3 linked regions of the Oryctolagus cuniculus genome follow. The protein of the gene in region 1 purifies or fractionates together with the protein of each later gene. This does not show direct contact. Links are inferred from orthologs where the notes say so. Each region holds a gene or a part of one and is shown on either strand. Other genes may lie near its edges.

Evidence for each region. The genes of interacting proteins can lie anywhere in the genome.
Region 2: the proteins of SNRPF (region 1) and RNPC3 purify together in Homo sapiens (co-immunoprecipitation; 3 studies listed by BioGRID and IntAct, counting the BioPlex papers as one, with this or other methods). This does not show direct contact. The link is inferred for Oryctolagus cuniculus from reciprocal best matches to the Homo sapiens genes SNRPF and RNPC3.
Region 3: the proteins of SNRPF (region 1) and CD2BP2 purify together in Homo sapiens (affinity purification with mass spectrometry; 4 studies listed by BioGRID and IntAct, counting the BioPlex papers as one, with this or other methods). This does not show direct contact. The link is inferred for Oryctolagus cuniculus from reciprocal best matches to the Homo sapiens genes SNRPF and CD2BP2.

Annotation. Positions count from the first base shown.
Region 1 is NC_091442.1:98,722,807-98,728,905, reverse strand, and holds the start of SNRPF (small nuclear ribonucleoprotein F), read right to left. Parts: upstream 3,782-6,099; 5' UTR 3,645-3,781; coding exon 3,642-3,644; intron 1,662-3,641; coding exon 1,536-1,661; intron 1-1,535. UniProt on the Homo sapiens protein: Plays a role in pre-mRNA splicing as a core component of the spliceosomal U1, U2, U4 and U5 small nuclear ribonucleoproteins (snRNPs), the building blocks of the spliceosome.
Region 2 is NC_091438.1:66,820,743-66,826,841, reverse strand, and holds the start of RNPC3 (RNA-binding region-containing protein 3), read left to right. Parts: upstream 1-2,293; 5' UTR 2,294-2,397; coding exon 2,398-2,586; intron 2,587-4,243; coding exon 4,244-4,291; intron 4,292-6,099. UniProt on the Homo sapiens protein: Participates in pre-mRNA U12-dependent splicing, performed by the minor spliceosome which removes U12-type introns. U12-type introns comprises less than 1% of all non-coding sequences. Binds to the 3'-stem-loop of m(7)G-capped U12 snRNA.
Region 3 is NC_091450.1:6,706,232-6,712,236, reverse strand, and holds CD2BP2 (CD2 antigen cytoplasmic tail-binding protein 2), read right to left. Parts: upstream 4,445-6,005; 5' UTR 4,315-4,444; exon of another isoform or gene 4,170-4,314; intron 4,059-4,169; exon of another isoform or gene 3,790-4,058; 5' UTR 3,764-3,789; coding exon 3,689-3,763; intron 3,526-3,688; coding exon 3,390-3,525; intron 3,284-3,389; coding exon 3,126-3,283; intron 3,004-3,125; coding exon 2,568-3,003; intron 2,482-2,567; coding exon 2,375-2,481; intron 2,286-2,374; coding exon 2,175-2,285; 3' UTR 1,958-2,174; downstream 1-1,957. Other genes in the region: sesquipedalian-1, read left to right, coding at 5,314-5,925. UniProt on the Homo sapiens protein: Involved in pre-mRNA splicing as component of the U5 snRNP complex that is involved in spliceosome assembly.

The DNA.
Region 1 (6,099 bases):
CAGGATAAGTACCTGGCTCCTGCCATCGGATCAGCGCGGTGCGCCGGCCGCAGCGCGCCGGCCGCGGTGGCCATTGGAGGGTGAACCAATGGCAAAGGAAGACTTTTCTGTCTCTCTCACTGTCCACTCTGCCTGTCAAAAATAAAAATAAATAAAGAAATCCAAATCAAATCCACAATGAGATACTAATTCGACCCCACTGGAACCTTTATACTTGCTGGGGGAAATGCAAAACCAAAGCTGCTATATAGAAAACAGTGTGGCAGGTCCTCAAACACAGAACTGCCATATGACCCAGCAATCCCACTTCTGACAGCAGGGACTCGAATATACACCCATGTTCATAGTAACATCATTTACAGTAGCCAAAAGGAAGACGCAATCTAAGTGTCCACAGGAGGTGAATGGGTTAGTGTGGCACATCCATACAATGGAGTCTTTCTCAGTCATAAAAGGCATGAAATCTGACACATGGCTGTACGACATGGGTGACCCCTGAGTACACTGTGCTAAGTGAAACAAGCCAAACACAAAAAGATACAATCATCCCTTGGAATCTGGGAGATTGGTTTCCGAACACCCTCTCTGCTCCCTGTGACCAAGGATACCAAAATCTGAGGGTGCTTAAGTCCCTCTCTGTAAAAGAGCACAGTACCTACATATGAACTATGCACATGCTCTCATATACGTTAAATCATGCCTAGATTACTTATGTTCCCTACTACAATGTAAATGCTATGTAAAAATGCTATAATGTCTTGTTTAGGAAATGACAAGAAACAAAGGCCTGTATATGTTTGGTACTGACTATATGATTCTTCCCAAAATGATTAAATTCACAAAGTAGAAAAGTGGTTACCAACAGCTAGAATCTGGGGTACGGGGGTGTTACTGCTTAATGGGTACAGAGTTCCACTTTAGGATAATGAAAAAGTTCTGAAATTGGGTACTAGTGGTAGCTGCAAAACAATGTTCTCACATACTATTACTGAGTGACATCTTTAAAAATGGTTAAAGTGGCCAAATTTTTATGTATATTTTATCACAATAAAAAAATTCACACCAAATCCCCCCCCTCACTGGCAAAATCATTTACAACTAGTTTAACCAACATAGTTCATCAATTCTTTCAGCTAATCTGTCTTCCCTCTGAAGAAATGCTTCTAGTTGATTACATTAATGTTGTGCCTTTAGCATTCATTAAGAGACAAGAATTTCACTTGAAAAATATCAGATTTAAGCGCTGGAAAAAGGTTTGCTTTTGAAAGCAACTCATGTATTTCCCTTATTATATGAATAATCAAATGCCTGAGTCCTCCTCACTTTACCCACCACGAGTAAGGTCTGTGAATCCTGGCCTAACCCCGTGTCTTGTACCTAGTCTATCAGTTGTAACATCCTCCCTGGCCTTGACTTCATTCCTGAATTTTGTTCTATCTTTGCCAACTGTATGAATTATTAGTCACACGAAACCTTGGAGGAATAAAGTGGAACAGAAGAAACACAGTGTCACCACCCTTTCACCTCTAGCTTACCTGCATGTTCATATAGCCGTCTACAGACACCAGGTAGCCCTTGTACTCCATTCCCCACTTGAGTTTCACCATCACGGGCTTCCCTGTTAATCCATTGAGGAAAGGTTTGGGATTGAGGGGTAAACTCTGCACAAAACAAACAAACAAAAAATCCATTGATTTTTTTTTTTCCTTAACTTGGCTTCCACTCCTCACTCTCCTCTACCAATCCACCAATCAATATTTTGTAACATCCAAATGAAGCAAACTCTTCACTCCCTATCACTCTACTACCTAATTTCCACTTTTGTTTGTTGAAGAGCATCTGGGAAATTTTTTTTTTTTTTTTGACAGGCAGAGTGGACAGTGAGAGAGAGACAGAGAGAGAAAGGTCTTCCTTTGCCGTTGGTTCACCCTCCAATGGCCGCCGCTGCAGCCGGCGCACCGATCTGATGGCAGGAGCCAGGATCCAGGTGCTTTTCCTGGTCTCCCATGGGGTGCAGGGCCCAAGCACTTGGGCCATCCTCCACTGCACTCCCGGGCCACAGCAGAGAGCTGGCCTGGAAGAGGGGCAACCGGGACAGAATCCGGCGCCCCAACCGGGACTAGAACCCGGTGTGCCAGCGCCGCAAGGTGGAGGATTAGCCTAGTGAGCCACGGCGCCGGCTAGCATCTGGGAAATTTAACCAGTTATCCCATTTCGTCTTCAACCCATCACAAAAAAATAAGTGTTCACGCTGCACTTAGGAGACAAGCGGCACCTGCAGTCCTCAGTGTCGCAAGCTCTAAGGAAACAAAGATGAAAGCCCTACAACAAACGTGTAACGAGGCTCTGTCCTTAAGAAGCCAGGGTGGGGGTGTGGCGCTGCAGACATACAGACAATTATATTGCAAAGCAGTAAGAGCGATGCTATGCAGAAAGGCCCAACCAACTCAGGAAAAAAGACAGGAACGGGCTGCCTGGTAGGAGCAATGCCTCCGTTTTAAAGGGTGAAGTCTATTCCAGAGGGAAAGGGGACCGCTGGAGGCCAGGGAGGCTTCCCATCTGGAATGACCGTGTGTATGTGTGCGCTTGCGCGCGTCATCCCGAGAACAAGCAGTACGGTCAGCATCCCACTCGGGGCAGGACCAAGCTCGGCAGGGCTCGGTCCTCACCCGACCGGTGCATCGCCGGCGAACCGAGTCTCTCCGCGCTCACCTCCTCACCCCGAGGAAGAACCCAGACACCGCTACTAAATCGCGGGAAAAGTAGGAGGGCTCCACCCGCAATAACCGCCTAACGGCCCCCAGCTCCCCACTTCTCGGGCGCAGCGAGCACACAGCCGCTACGACGTGTGCCAGAGCGCATCCCATCGGGCCTGATGAGAAAGCTCCGACGGCTGCCGAGGGCGCCGGGGTAGACCCTCCACACGCTGCCCAGGTCCTGGCGCTCTCGCAAGCGGTGGCCGCTTTCGGCCAACACCCACCACGAGTGTAGCTGTCCCTCCCTCATCGTTCCGGAGCCCCATTTCCTGTCACCCGGGCTCGGGTGAAAGCCCCCCTCCGGGGGCAGCCGCGGAAGGCGCCCCAGCGCCCCGGGGCCGCAGCCTCCCGCCCGCTCCCGTCTAGGCCGGTGCCCATTTCGGTGAACAGCGCCTGACGGACGTCTGTCTCTCACACCCCGCCCAGCTCGGCCGGTGCAGGGTCCGCATGGGCACTTCTCAGTCTCTAGTCCTGGAGCCCAAGACTCAACCTGGCCAAGTCGCCGGCGCTCAATAAGCGTCAGAACGAATACACGAACGCTCCGGGGCCTGGGCCAAGGCGGGCTGGAGAAACATCACCGACGGAATAAAAGCGGCTTCATGAGTGCGACGAAGTGGGAAACGCAAACCGCTTCAGCGTTTGCTACATCCACCCCGACTACCTCTTTCTTCCCTGGACTCAGAAAGAAGAGGCAGCAGGAGGCGAGGGTCGTCCCAGCCAGGAAGGGACTCGCGCGCGTCCGCGGAACCCGCAGACTGGCGCCCCGGTGCGCTGCGCCTCGCGGATGAATGGGAAAGGCGCGAAGCCGCCACCAGGCTCAGCCAGCCCGAAGTTGCCTTCCCGCCCTCTCCGTCTCGCGACTCCAGCAGTCCTCCCTCTCCTTACCATCACGACTTCGGGCTAACGTTGCGGATTAGACGCCGCCGACGCAGATACAGCCCGTCCCGCGTGCTCGGAGCAGCTTCCCCCAAGGCCCAGACCTCCGAAGTTGCAAGAGAAATGGCCGCCAAACCTCAGCTTGACCTTTCACCTCCCACCACCGCTCTTTCGCCTTCTATGATTGGTCAAAAAGAGGCGTGTGCTGATTGGAGGAGATGGCGCAGCCGTGTCTCCCAGCAACCAGAGACGCGTTCGGCGTTACTAGTCTTCTCCCCTGCCTTGAAGAACCGGCTGTGAGAGGCCGCGTACCCTGTGGCGCACACGTGATTTCTCGGCAGCTTGGCTAATGGGGGGTCGCTTTGTTAGTTTACAACGGTGAGAACGCGTTCGGGGCTCTCAGGTCCCCGGGTACCGCGATTTGGGGGCGCCTCTGCCACAGCCCCCTTCGACCTGAAGGTTGTCTATTCGGTAGCACCCGTTTCAGCGTTCTAAGAGGAAATGAGAGGAGCGGGCCTGGAGGCGGGGAGGTGAAACGGAGGGGCCGCGGCAGAATTCTTTGCAGACTAGGAGCCAGGACCTCCCCCGGGGCGTTGCCCGCGGGCCCCCGGCCCCGCCGGCCTGGGGAGCACCTGCGGCAGCACGGGCTGATCGGTGCCCGCGACGCAGCCGCCAGCCCCTCTCCGCGCGACCGACGCTGGACTAGCCCGGATGGGAGGTGCTGAATGCAGATCTCGGAGAACTGGCGCTTGGAGGAGGACCGCCTGCTGCTGGACACCCCCCAGAAGATGCGTTTGGACTTGAGCTTTCAGGAGATGCTCGCTGTGACTTACGTGTTGTCGGTTTAAATGATGAGCAGCAAGTCAGGGTGATCATCAGTGTGGTGTAGACCGAATAGCTGTTAGAATTATTTACCCCAAAGTGCACTGGGTTTTTTCTGGTTAGTCATCGTGTCGTGGATCTTCAGCTTTTAAGAAAAAAAATTCTTAATTTTCTTTATGAGAGAGCGAGAGCGAGACAGAGAGCGTACACGCTCTTGGACCTACTGGCTCAACTCCCCAAACACCCGCAACAAGCCAGGCTGAAGCCGGGGGCTGGGAACTCCCAAGTGAGTGGAAGGGACCCAAACTACTTGAGCCATCACCTGCTGCCTCCCAGGGTGCATTAGCAGGAAGCTGGGTCAGAAACCCAGCGGGGACTCCAAGCCAGACACTCCCATCTGGGATGTGGGCGTCTTAGGCGCTATGCCAGATGTTACACCCCTGCATCTTTAACTTTGCTATAATCTTTAGTTCCTAACTTTATGTCCGGCTCTTTCCCAATTATTATAGAAATCACACAGTGTGATCTGAAGTTACAGCTGAGATGAGAAAAACAGACTTGGCAGAGAACTTGCCCAGAGGCACGTAGCTGGATTTTAACCCCAAAACTGCTTTCTCTACTTCATAAAGCCACCTTTCAGCAACTTTAGAAAATTGGCTACATTCCAGCCTGCACAAAATGAGCCTGGAGTGTCTTGTTATGCAGAAGTAGGAAAAATGCTCAGAGTGACGGGGTCATTCAAAAGGATGTCCCAATTTTGACAACTTGAACATCAAATATGTAAAGACAGCCATGAATTACGACCCACTGAATATAACAGGAATCCATGAGTCCACAGTGAATAAATGGAGAAAGTCTGATTTGGAATGGGATAGCTAATGCAGTTTCAAGGCACTCTTCCAAGAAACACTAATTGCAAAGGAGGGAAAGTAACTACAGTGAGGAAGCCTGGTAGCCGTCACTTTAATCCAATGCTCAAATGATGATTGTGAACAATGGGACAAATCCAAAGTATGTGTACCACTAGGTAAGATGCAAAGAGCAGGTGCATTTCCGTGGTGCTCATACCAAAGACGTAACAGGAATGTAATAGTCTGGAAATACCAGACAAACCAGACTGAGAGACTTTACTAAACAACTGGCCCCAGGGACAGGCATTTGTCTCAGCAGATGAGGTGCCACCAAGGACACCCGCAACACCTGTCAGAGAGCCTGGCCTTGAGTCCCTGATCCACTTCTCCTTCCGGTTGCCTGCTAATGTGCACCCTGGGAGGGCACAAATGATGGCTCAAGTACTTGGGTCCCTCCCACCCATCTGGAGACCTGGTTGTATTCAGGGCTCCTGGCTTCAGCCTGACCCGACCTTGGCTGTTGTGGACATCTGGGGAGTGAGCCAGAGGGAGAAAGATACCCCCTTCAGCCTTTTGAGTAAATATTTAGAAAAGATCAACAACTAGCCTCTAGTGTTCTAAAGTGTCAAGGCCACAGAAGTAGCCCCAAGATAAATTGCTAAGAAAAGCACACACTGCACAACACCTTATAAACACCTGGGTTTATAAAAGGTGGGGGGGGGCAGTGTGTCCGGGTGTTTGCAGGTGCATGAATGCACTGGAGAACTCCTAAGACGCCACATGCATTGCTTATC
Region 2 (6,099 bases), on another chromosome or scaffold:
TTTAAAACACAGAGAATGTGAATGTGAGGGCCATCTGGCTGTGCCATTGATCATTAAGGTTGATTCTGCTGATCTAGCTGGCTACACAGATATTCCCTTCCTCTCTGCTCTAAAGTCAAGGCATATCAGTAGCTGTTAAAATATCCAAAAAAGCCCTCAAGGGATATACAGAAGTCTGTAAAGGACAGTGTTTAAAGATGCCTGCCCCAATCACTTTCTCATTACCCTATTGCTAGTATTTCAAAACACTTACTCACTGAAAGTAATTCATTTATTCATTTATATTATTTAGCATGTTTTTAGTACCAGAATGTAGCCATCAAGAGAGCTGAGATGGCTCTTCCTCCACTTCTCAACAGTGGTGGTATGCACCATAGATTTATAACAGGCTCCTTTCTATTTGCACCCTTATTATTTGGACAGAAATACTATAAAGTTTGACCCCATATGTATTCAGTGTTGAACTTTCCCCAAATCCCAAGCATACATATCCATTCCATATTCCTCCTTTCCCCTACTCCCACCACAATTCCTAACCTAGTGACGTTTTAGTCAGTCTCCTTATGCTTAGTAAATGACATTGTCATCTATTTACTTGGTGGACAATTAGGAGCTCAAGCCACAAATCCAGAATTTATCCCTGATTGCTGTTCTTCAAGTTACTAAAATTTTACTTCCAAAATATATCTCAAGATCCTCCTATGACTACTTCTGCTAAACCCTGTCAGGCTGTGTCTTTTCCCCTGGGCTTCCCCAGTAGCCCAACTTCATGCTTCTCCTATATTTTTTCACATGGCAATCAGAAAAATTTTCATACTAAAATTTGATCATGTCCTCATCTTCCCCAAATACACAACTACTAAACGTCTTTGCGGGGCCAGTGCCGTGGCTCACTTGGTTAATCCTCCGCCTGCAGCACCCGCATCCCATATGAGTGCCGGGTTTAGTCCCGGTTGCCCCTCTTCCAGGCCAGCTCTCTGCTGTGGCCCGGGAGAGCAGTGGAGGATGGCCCAAGTGCTTGGGCCCCTGCACCCGCATGGGAGACCAGGAGGAAGCACCTGGCTCCTGGCTTCGGATCAGCGCAGCGCGCTGGCCACAGCAGCCATTGGAGTGTGAACCAACGGTAAAAGGAAGACATTTCTCTCTGTCTCTCTCTCTCTCACTGTCTAACTCTGCCTGTCAATAAATAAATAAGTCTTCATTACCAATTGCTCTGCATAAAAGCAAGGATCTAAACAAACCTACAAGATTTACATATTGAGTCTCTACCTATTCAACTTTTTTTCCTTGCCAATTAATACTCCATGAGAACAGAATTTTGATGTATTGTTTACTGCTATCTCATTCACATTTATCCAAGGAGAAAATAAAAAGATCAAAGAAATACCTTGCTCCTTCACAGTGTAACAGCTGAACCTAATTTCACTTGGAGTGAAGGGTAGATTTCCGACCCTTTTGAGGTTATGCCTCACTATATTCAGAATCTAAGCAGAATAGTGGGTCACAGTACATACCCCATGTCAGAAGACCAGGGGTCAAATTTTAGCTTTCCCACTCTTTGTATATCCTCCCTTGAAAAAAAGACTACTTACCCATGCACCTAAAATGTATAAGGGTATTTCAAAAAGTTAATGGAAAATAACATGAAAATTTATTTTGGTGCAATTTTGAACTTGATATGCAGGCTTTTATGTACTTGTATGTGTAAAGACATTTATGCATTATGGCATGTCCTAGAGGCTGCCATTTCTGTGAAATGAATCGCTCACCCAAGGCAAAATGCTTGTAGCTATGTCCCTTGCAGTACCTTCTCCGGTTTACCAAAGGACTAGCTAACTCTAGTTATTTCACTGTCAGGACTGCAAAGGCACACTGCTTGTTCCCACACCAAGTTACATCCGCCAGCCTGTCCTATTCACTTCCCCGAGCCAGGGAATAGCCCAGAGGCACAGCCCCGGAGGCGCCGCGCCACGCCACGCCCAGACTCGCACACCCCACCGCGCAGGCGCGCAGTGAGTCCTGCAGTCCCGGGGCACAGACCCGCTGCCGCTCGGGCGGCGAGCTTCCCCGTTCTCTGAGTGCGAGCTTCTGGTAATTTTCATGCCTCTGTGAGCCGTGTTTGCTTTTAACACCTCTGGCGGCTACCTGGGATTTAACTCACTTTATTTGCCTTCACTGTCCGCACCTTGCCTTTCAGTGTGAGGCGTCCCGGACAGCTGCCGCTCGGCCGTGGCGCAGTTCTCGCGAGAAGGAGATCATCTCGCGGTGTTTCCTTGTTACCAGCGTCCTTAGCGCGAGGCGGAAAAGTGCTCGCTGGTGTCGGCTTCTGTTGATGCCGCTGCTTCGCGTCGGGAGGCTTCTTCCTGCGACTTATCTGTTGCCGCTTTTCCAAGGAAAATGGCGGCCCCCGAGCAGCCGCTGCTCGTATCAAGAGGATGCACAAGCTCTACGCTGTCCCCGCCGCGAGGCGACCGAACCCTTCTGGTGAGGCACTTGCCAGCAGAGCTGACCGCTGAGGAGAAAGAGGACTTGCTGAAGTATTTCGGGGCGCAGTCCGTGCGTGTCCTGTCAGATAAGGGGCGACTGGTAAGGTTGTGCGTCCTCCTGAGTATCGCGTGTAGCCCTTGAGTGCTTACCGGGCGGGGGAGGCGCTGACGAAAGGGGCGGAAACGAGTGGAGACGAGGGGCTTGTGTGAGCGGAGGGGCCTCAGCTTCCCCCTTTTACGTCAAAATATCTTGTGTGCGAGGGGGAGTTTGAATTGGCTTGGGTCCGGATTTCGTCACAGCACCGCCAAGAGTGAGAAAGTGAAAAGAGTAGAAATGAAAATAGCTTTATTGTATTCCCGTTGTTGACCAGTCTCCGAATTTCTCAACGCCTCTGAATTTGGGGTACTGGGAGTATTCTTAGGAATAGGTAACAAAGGAGTTTTTAAAAGTTCAGGCTCATTTAGAAACCGTTGTCAAAACACTGATCAGAATAGAGCAGAAAGTGCAATAGCTGTTTGAGTAAACTAGATAGAGGATTTCTGCTAAGTTTTTGACCCAGGTGCTTTTTCATCAAGATTTCCCTACGGGATCTTTTAGGGAAAAATACTTTAACACTTAATAATTCCTACCCACGAATTTGTACAGTTTTATACTTGATGTTTTAGGTAATTTTCTCTTAGTTAAAATAGTAATGGCACTATTCAGTTGCTGCAAAATGATCTGTGATGGGGCAAGACGTCAATGTTTTTAAAAAGTCTCTCCAAGAGACTCCAGTGTGTAGCCAGGAGTGAGAATCCCTAAGTTGGAAGAAAGACCGGTTTTGATGAGTTTGAGTATTACGCATTTCGAGCAAATACAAGTAAAATACCGCATCTGGTTCAACTGAAGTACACTTAGTTAGATCATCTTGGATCTAATTAGATAAAATTGGGACGTGTGATGTAAGTAAGCAACACTTAATAAGCATTTACAAGAACTCAGTATAGTGTATAGTGTAGGTGTATTGTAAATAGGGGCTATTTTATATTTTTAGATGGGTTAAGAGTGATCCTCTGAGGATAGTAGGGGTTTTTAAACTTCAGATATGTTTCACAATTTATATAAATAAAGCCTGCATGGAGTATGTTTATACCTTTATATGAAAAATGTTGCATAGCTTTCATCTCAAAAAGTCCGACCCAAAAAAAGACTCAAAATCACTGAACTGAAATCAGTCATCAGTTTAAATGTACCATCATTTTATTAATGTGCCACATTCCTCCATTAGTACTGTTAGGAAAATGGCACAGTCTTATCTATGGCACAATCTACTCCCTGACACCATCCTAGGCTTTATTGCTGGATGCCAGGTGGGCATATGGCCCAATCACCAATGTCAAGCTCCACCCCCATCCTAATTGGATTCCCTGCTACTTCCCTGCCTGTCCTCCACAAAGTTTTAAAAGGACCTGTTCCTGAACACGTCTCTCTCTCCTTCCACTCTCCCCTCCTCTCTCTCTCTTGCTCGTTCTCTCTTGCCCCTCTCCTTTCTCTCTCTCCCCCTCTCCATCTCCTGCCCCCTGTCTCTCACACTCTCCTTTTCCCTCTTTTCCTTCTTTGCCCCTTCCTTCTGGTCTGTCGGGTTTCCCCCAATAAACTCTTTCCCTTACTCCGGTGTTTGGTGTGTTTTGTGGCAGCCTTACAAGTACAACATCAGATTTCTTTATGGGTAACTGAAATTATACTGGAAGTAATTTGTACCTTAAATTTGTTTCAGAAACATACAGCTTTTGCTACTTTCCCTAATGAAAAAGCAGCCATAAAGGTATGATTTTCTTTACTATTGAAGTTATCAACAATTTCCTGTATCTAATCTTGGTACAAAAATGGGAAGAACTATTAAACTTTAGTTTTTAAAAACTTTCAAAAGAGTTAACATTCCATGTGTTTGCCCAACAGACTATATTTGTTTTGGCAATTAACAGATCTTTTTGTCTAACATTTAGGTAATGGTATGTAAGAATAGTGAAATAAATCAAAATTAGCAGCATATATAACTAAAAAAATGGCAAGTTCAAAGCATGTGAAGATAACTAACTGTTGGGAAGCAAAATGGTTTACGTATTAAAGGAGAGTGAATATACACACAGAGAGTACTTCAAAAAGTTGAGCAAAAAGCATGTTAGAAAAACTATGCATAGATTTCAAGAAGCTTTCAAAGCAGTAAATTTACCTTTGAATTCCATTTTTCCATTAACTTTGTGAAGTCTCAGAATCATTTGCAAAGTAAGTGGCCTTTCACATAATCTCTAATGTTTGGTTGTTTTTTGAGAGATCAAGCGAGATGGACCTTGCAGATTTGAGGTACACAAAGTAAAGATTTAGGACATGGAAATGTGTAAGTAGGTCAAGGGCTAAGGGTTGTGATGGAAATAGGAATGGAAAAATAGACTGAGTAGAAGAGACATATACTAAAGGCACTTGATACTTTTGACCTAGCTAATAATATGAACAGGCCTGTGAAAGATACTTGGTGGAATTTATATCATGGATCCAGTGTGGAGAAATATTAAATATAGCAAGTCCAAATAGAAAGCTGTTAAAATGGCCAGGGTGAGAATAAGTATCTGAAGAAGGTGATCCAGTGACAAAGGGTAAAGAAGTATACTTGATAAAGATCATGTTGGTAGGCCTTGTGATGTAGGGTTGAAAGAGTGAATAGTTCAGATATGTGGACTGAGTTGTTAGGTTGTCAGATTAGCTTCTCTGGGCAGTGAGAGTAGGAAGATGTTTACAAAGGTACATAATGAATTCAAATGTCATTTGTTAACTTTGAAAAGTCCTTGCTACTTCAATGGAAAGAGCTAGTAAACATTTAAAAATATTAGCCTAGAGCTGAGGCAAGGTCAAGAACTCAGATTCTTCAACCTTATGAATAGATACTACCAAATGAAAGGTGAACTAGTAGAAAAGACTGGGTGAGAGTAGTATTTTTTTTTAAAAGAAAAATGTAGAATTAGGAAATAAATTACCATGGATGTAGAGAGTAGTTTTAAGAAAATGAGATCCAGTGATGACACAAAATGCAGAATGAACAAAATGTAATAGTTAGTGATTTTTATTATGAAACAGAAGTGACCCAAATTCTCATCAGTAAGGGAAACAGATACTTCAAATGGTTATGCGGAGTGAGCATCCATAAATTGAAAATCTGAAATACCCCAAAATTTGAAACTTTTGAATGACAATATGGTGCCATGAGTGGAGGAAAAGCTACATCTAACATCATGTGACAGTTGTAGTAAAAATGCAGGTGCACTAAAAATATTGTGTACAGTTACCTATAGACTATGAGTATTACAAGGTTTATATGAAACACATATGAATTTAACATGTTGAATTGGGTCTCATCCCTTAATATACCTCATTATGTATATGCAAATATTCCAAAATCTGCAATCTAAAACACTTCTGTACTAACCATTTTGGATAAGGGATATTTAATCTGTATATCCATATAATGGATTCCCAGCTATAGATGTATTAGTAAATGGTAATAGCCCAGATAGACTGCATGAAAAAGGTTTCAAAAATTGTAATATAACCTCACATTTTTCTGAAAACAGATAGTAA
Region 3 (6,005 bases), on another chromosome or scaffold:
GCCTGGGAAAGCAGCAGAAGATGGTCCAAGTCCTCGGGCCCCTGCAGCCCCATGGGAGACCTGGAAGAAGCTCCTGGCTCTTGATCAGCCATTGCAGCCATTTGGGGAGTGAACCAGTAGATGGAAGATCTCTCTCTCAAATAAATCTTTTTTTTTTAAAGTGTTCTGAGCAAGAAATTTTGAAATTCATGCGGTTCTTGCATAATACACACTTGCCGTGAACTTCCGGAGCTCCCCGGAATGCATGGATTTCAAACACTTTTTTGCAACAGGGTGAACTTGTATTTCAACTTCTTATAGAAGTTGAGGGGTAGGGGCATTTGCTGGATGGTTAAAGCATCCACACAGCCCCCCAGTCTCCCAGTGCCTGGCCTAGCTAGGGTGTGGCCCTCAGAGGCTCCATTGTCACTCAACTCCACACCTCCAGCAGGGTCCTGCCTGGCTGAAACTAGGGACCCAAAGAAAAGACCGGAGGCCTGGCCACAGCCTGGATCAAGCCAATCGGAGCCCAAGGGGGAGCACTGCTCGGTGCCCAAGCAGATTCCAAGGGGCAGGCACTGTGGAAAAAGGCTCAATCTACGCTGGCGCACGCGAGGAGAGGCCAAGGGCAGCTCCAGTGGGGCTGGTGGGGGGGAGGGGTTGTCAGGGCCAGACTCCATGATCCCCTTCCAGCAGACGCAGAACCCCGGTTATCTGGGCTTCCTCAGGCGCCAGCCCTGGGCCAAGCACATTGTGGGCGCCCGGGGGGAGGAAGCTGCCACGCCTCCAAGGCCAGGCAGAAGCGGCTTTGTGCCAAGAGAGGCCTGGGAAAGGAACTCACTGGGTGTGGGCCAGCCCTCTGTGTGTCCTCCGATGCGTCACTGCCCCTCTCTCGGTCCCTACAAGGCAGGGCCGGCCCAGGTGGCCCGAGGGGCTCTTCCAGTGGACGTGAAGTTCACACCCCAGCGACGGGAACCCCCAACGCCGCAGACAGACGCATCAGGGAAAATGTTGGGGCTTGGGCTGACCTTGGCTCACCTAGCCCCTTCCTAAGAGGGAGGAGAGCCAGTAGGGGGATTCCTGGGGCCAGCGCTGTGGTGTAGTAGGTTAAGCTTCCACCTGCAGTGCCGGGATCCCACATGGGCACAGGTTCAATTACCGGCTGCTCCACTTCCGATCCAGCTCTCTGCTATGGCCTGGGAAAAGCAGCAGAAGATGGCCCAAGCCTTTGGGTCCCTGCACCCACGTGGGAGACCCAGAAGAAGCTCCTGGCTCCAGATCGGCTCAGTTCCAGCCATTGTGGCTATTAGGGGAGTGAAACAGCGGATGGAAAACCCCTCCCTCCCTGTCTGTCTGTAACTCTGCCTCTCAAATAAATAAACCTTAAAAAAAAAGGGGGGGGGGGGGGCAGCGCTGTGGCACAGCAGGTTAATGCCCTGGCCTGAAGCGCCAGCATCCCATATGGGTGCTGGTTCTAGTCCCAGCTGCTCCACTTCCAATCTAGCTCTCTGCTATGGCCTGGGAAAGAAGTAGAAGATGGCCCAAGTCCCTGGGCCCCTGCACCCACGTGGGAGACCCGGAAGAAGCTCCTGGCTCCTGGCTTTGGATTGGCTCAGCTCCAGCCGTTGCAGCCAACTGGGGAGTGAACCAGCGGATGGAAGACCTCTCTCTGTGTAATTCTGACTTTCAAATAAATAAATAAATCTTTTTTAAAAAAATTAAAAAAAAGAGAATTCCTGCTCATCCTTGGTCTTCGAGACGTCCCACTAACACCTGCAATTCCTGGGCCCGGGGCTCAGGTCCCCAGCGGCTGTGAGGACAGAGGAGGCGAGGTCAGCACAGCGAGAAGCCCGCGCAGGCGCAGATCAGGGCGGGGCCCACACAGGACACCTGCCAGTCAGGGAGGCGGGAAACGAAGGTGAGGAGGGTTCAAGGCACCGGGGAGAGACCACGGCAGAGGAAAAAGCGTACAAACACATAACAGTCTGAAGGGCTGTGGAGACGGCCCCCGGCTCCTGGCCGTCAGCACAGCCGAGGCCCTCGCACACCACTAAAGGCATTTTATTGGGAAAAACAGAAATTGAAAAGTAGCCTCCAATCTTCTCCCTGCCCAAGGCAGCTGGGGGCCGGCTCCCCCAAAGTCCAGCAGAGAACGGGGGAGGTGGGGGGGGCGCCCAACTGGGCCCTCCGCAGGCTCAGGTGTAGAGGTCGAAGTCGATGCGTTTGGAGTTGTAGAACTGACCACCCGGGGGATCCAGCTTCCGGCAGTAGACTCCGTCTGGGAAGTAGCCTTCGCTCACCCAGGTCTGCAGGTAGACAGGGCGGGGCTGACACGGCGGGGCGGGGCGGGCCGGGGGTGGGGCGGGGCGTGCGGGGGAGGGGGGGGGGCGCTCACCTGCATCTGGGCACTGGTGAAGGGTCCGTAGAGCTCGGCCTCCCCGGTGTTCTCCCACTTATATTCCCACATCACGTCCACCAGGCCGTCGCCCGCCGACTCTGCCTCTGCAACCAGAGGCGGAGCCGATTGGAGCTCCACTGCCCGGCCTCCAGTCCACACCGCTGCCCCTCCTCTGCCCTCCAAAGCTCACCTTCTCTCTGGGGAGGGGTCGGGGTCTCCAGCTCCCCCTCAGCCACCTCCTCCGCAAACATGTCCAGGGAGGGCGGGGGCGTGGAATCCTGGGCCCCCTGGGTCCGACACCCCAACCCCTTCAGCCGCATGGCCAGGCGCTCTCGAGTTTCCTGGTAAACGCCAAGGTTGCCCCGGGCCACCATCTGGTCAGCCAACCCAGACAGCCGGTCCAGGCGCTGGGGGGAACTGGGCCGCCCGGGCCCCTTGCTGTTCCCTTTGCCCCCTCCTCGGGCCCCCAGCCGCCTCAGTGCCCCGGCCACTGTCTCCCTGGGCAGCAGCAGCTCTAGAAGTCCCTCGAGGAGGGCTTGGGCGCTCAGTGGTGTCTGGCCCAGGCTGTCCTCCTCCTCCGAGTCTGAAGCCCGGCGCTGATCCGGGGGCCGCTCCCTGATCTTCACCTAGAATGCAAGAAAGGGGTCAGGGTCGGGGGCTGCAGGGGGTTGTTTCCTACAAACCTGCTCCAGGAGCCCAGATCCAGCCCCCCCACCCCACCCCAGCCGTGCTGAGCCCTGGGCCGCACCCAATCAATATTGTCCAGCCAGCTGTCCTGGATTTGAGCGTCCCGGTTCAGGAAGTAGTTGCCATCGGCATCAAAGTGGCCTTCCTCCATCTCCTCCTGCAGGTTGAAGGGAGTGATGCGCACCCCTCCCTCACTGGGGAGCGTGGCTGCTTCCTGACCTGCATCAGAGACAGAGTCGCCCCATGCGAGGCATGCAAAAAAAAGAGAGAGACAGGAACCTCCCTCCCTCAAGTCCCCACTCGTCCCTCCCTGGGTGCTACTCACCTTCCACATCCTCTGAGGCCAGGATGTCATACTTGCTGGACCCCTCGTCGTCATCATCCTCTTCATCGCTGTCCAAGGAGTGCTTGCCTTTGAAGCGGCTCCCGGGACCCCCGGGCCCAGTCACGGGGTCCACCAGCTGAGAGCAGGAAGGGAGAAATGCAGAATTCTCAGCTCCTCCCAGACTCCAGCATCTGCACCCAAGCTGAGCACCCTCCAAACCCAGTCCTGGGGGACCTGCCCTCCTCTTCAGGCTCCGCTCTGCCTCCCCTCCCCCCAACAAAACGGTCTGGCCCCCTCACCTTCTTCCTGGGAACACTGACTTCATCCTCATCCTCGTCTCCCACGCCTTGGAAGGTCACTTTCCGCTTTGGCATGACGGGCCAGGGGGGCTTCCCTTAACCTGATGGGGGAAAAGTTGCAGAGGAAGCGGCCTGAGCGGGAGGCCACCCACTGCAAGAGAACCCTGGCCACAGGACACGCTTCCTGGTGCGTGCCAGGTCCATTGGGAGGGAAGAGCACAGAGAATCGGGGGCCAGAGCGGGAGCTGCAGCCCGGAGGCTCCCACGGCCTCGGCTCGCCATCCCAGAGCTAACGGAGCTGGGACGCCAGGCCAGACGCGGGGAGTATCCCCACCCCGACGACAGGGGCCCGGCTCCCCCACGTGACCACGCCCATATCCGGCCTCCGCAGTCTGAGCGCTACCGGGCTCGGCGGGCACACACACCCGCTCCCGCAACCCCAAAGCCCTCGGAGCCCGCGGGGCCCGGGCCGACCCAGGACCTGGCGCTCCCGGCCGCTCTGCTCCTCCTCCTCGCGCCGAACTCCCAATTCCACGTGGTTGACCCCCCAACTGTCCCGGGGTGTGTACAGATTAGAGGGCGGCACAGCCACGGGGACTCCGGCAGCCAGCCCCGCGCGCGCTCACCTGGGGATCTAGGGGAGGCAGGGGAAGAAAAGGAGAGATGCTTTCACCAGGGCTGTATCCGGGGCACCTGGCCGCCATCACCCGGAAGCGTACGGCGGAGGCCGGAAGTGGCTTCACTCCACTTGAAGGACTAACAGGAAGAGCGGGCGGAAGTAGGTAGTGAGCTAGGCGGCAACCTCCAACCCTGTCCCCCGCCAGGAGTGACGTGAGCCGCGCGGGTCTGCAGCGGCGAGGAGTGTGCGGGCGCCTAGACCCTGATCGGCGCGGAGGATGCCCCGAAGTGGCTTCGATGCCCTCACGCAGCCTCTGGGGGATGCAACTCCACTTAGAGGGGAGCCCAGGGTCAGGATGGAGGGGCAGAGGAGGAGCAGAGCCGATGGGTTCCAGCCCCAGGTGCCCCTTCCGGGGTTCGCACCACCGTTTCCCGCAGACTGGCCAAGTGCCTTACACTTGTCAGAGCTGCGCCCTCTCCTAGCGTGAGGCGCGGCCCTGCTCTTCTCCCTAAGGGAAGCCAGGCTCACCTGATGGCCTCTGAGGGCACTTGGGACACTTTCAGAACCCAGCCGCCTTTAGGACCCAGGGGAAATCACGTGCTCCACGCCTGTCCGCGGAGCCAGTTCCTGATTTCTGAGGCGGGGCAGCCACTGCTGCAGAGGTGGCATTGTCGCGGGTGCCCTGTGGCCAGCCCAGAAGCCCCTGTGCCTGCTCTCAGGTAGGCCTAGGAAAGGGCAATGGTCCCTCCGGCACCACAGCGGTGGGATGAAGCCCCCGCCCCCTTAGCAATCAGGGCCCAGCGACCCTGCCTAGGTGATGGGATTTGAGGCGGGGAGGTGGGCGGGCCTGGCCCTGGGTGGTGGGACAAGACAGCTAACGCCCAAGGGTGTGCAGGCCAAGACTGTGCCCAGGCAGAGCCTGCTGGAGCTAGGAGGGCGTGAGCATCCTCCCAGGCAACCAGGGGACCACTCCTCTCTCCCCCAGGGTCCCTCCAGGGCCACCACCATGAAACTGCACCGCAAGTCTGTGCTCAGTTTCTTCCAAGGCTGCAGAGCCCAGGCCCCAGACCAGGAGGGCATCTTGCTGAAGAAGGGGGCCCGAAACAGCAGCTACCAGCGCCGCTGGTTTGTCCTCCGTGGAAACCTCCTCTTCTACCTGGAACACCAGGAAGCCCACACTCCCCTGGGCCTCATCCTGTTGGAGAGCTGCCGGGTGGAGCCTCGCCTTAAGGCCGCAGAGCCCTTCGCCTTCACCATCGTGACCCCCGGGGGAGAGGGCACAGGGGGGCGGGCCTACAAGCTGGCCGCAGAAAGCCAGGAGGAGCTGAGGGCTTGGCTGTGGGCGCTGGCCGGGGTGAGCTGGAGGCGGCTGGCTAGGCTGCTTCCCCCCATGGAGGCCCAGTACCGGGAGCTCTGCCAGGCGGCTGGCCAAGAACCCAGGTGCCCCGCCGAGGACTGTGGCTTTCTAGCCATCCTCGGGCCCCACTCCAGCTTCCAGGAGCTGCACGAGCGCTTTGGGAAGGAGATCCGGGTGCTGCTGGCAGTGCACAGAGGACTCCGGGAAGCCAGGTCCCAGGCAAAGCTGGAGCAGCTCAACCAGTGTTTGTCGAGTGACTGAGAGGCAGACCAAAGGCCAGGGAGTACCCGTCTGCAGAGATCACCGGAGACCCAGGCCCTGGCTCCTTCCCACCCTGCACC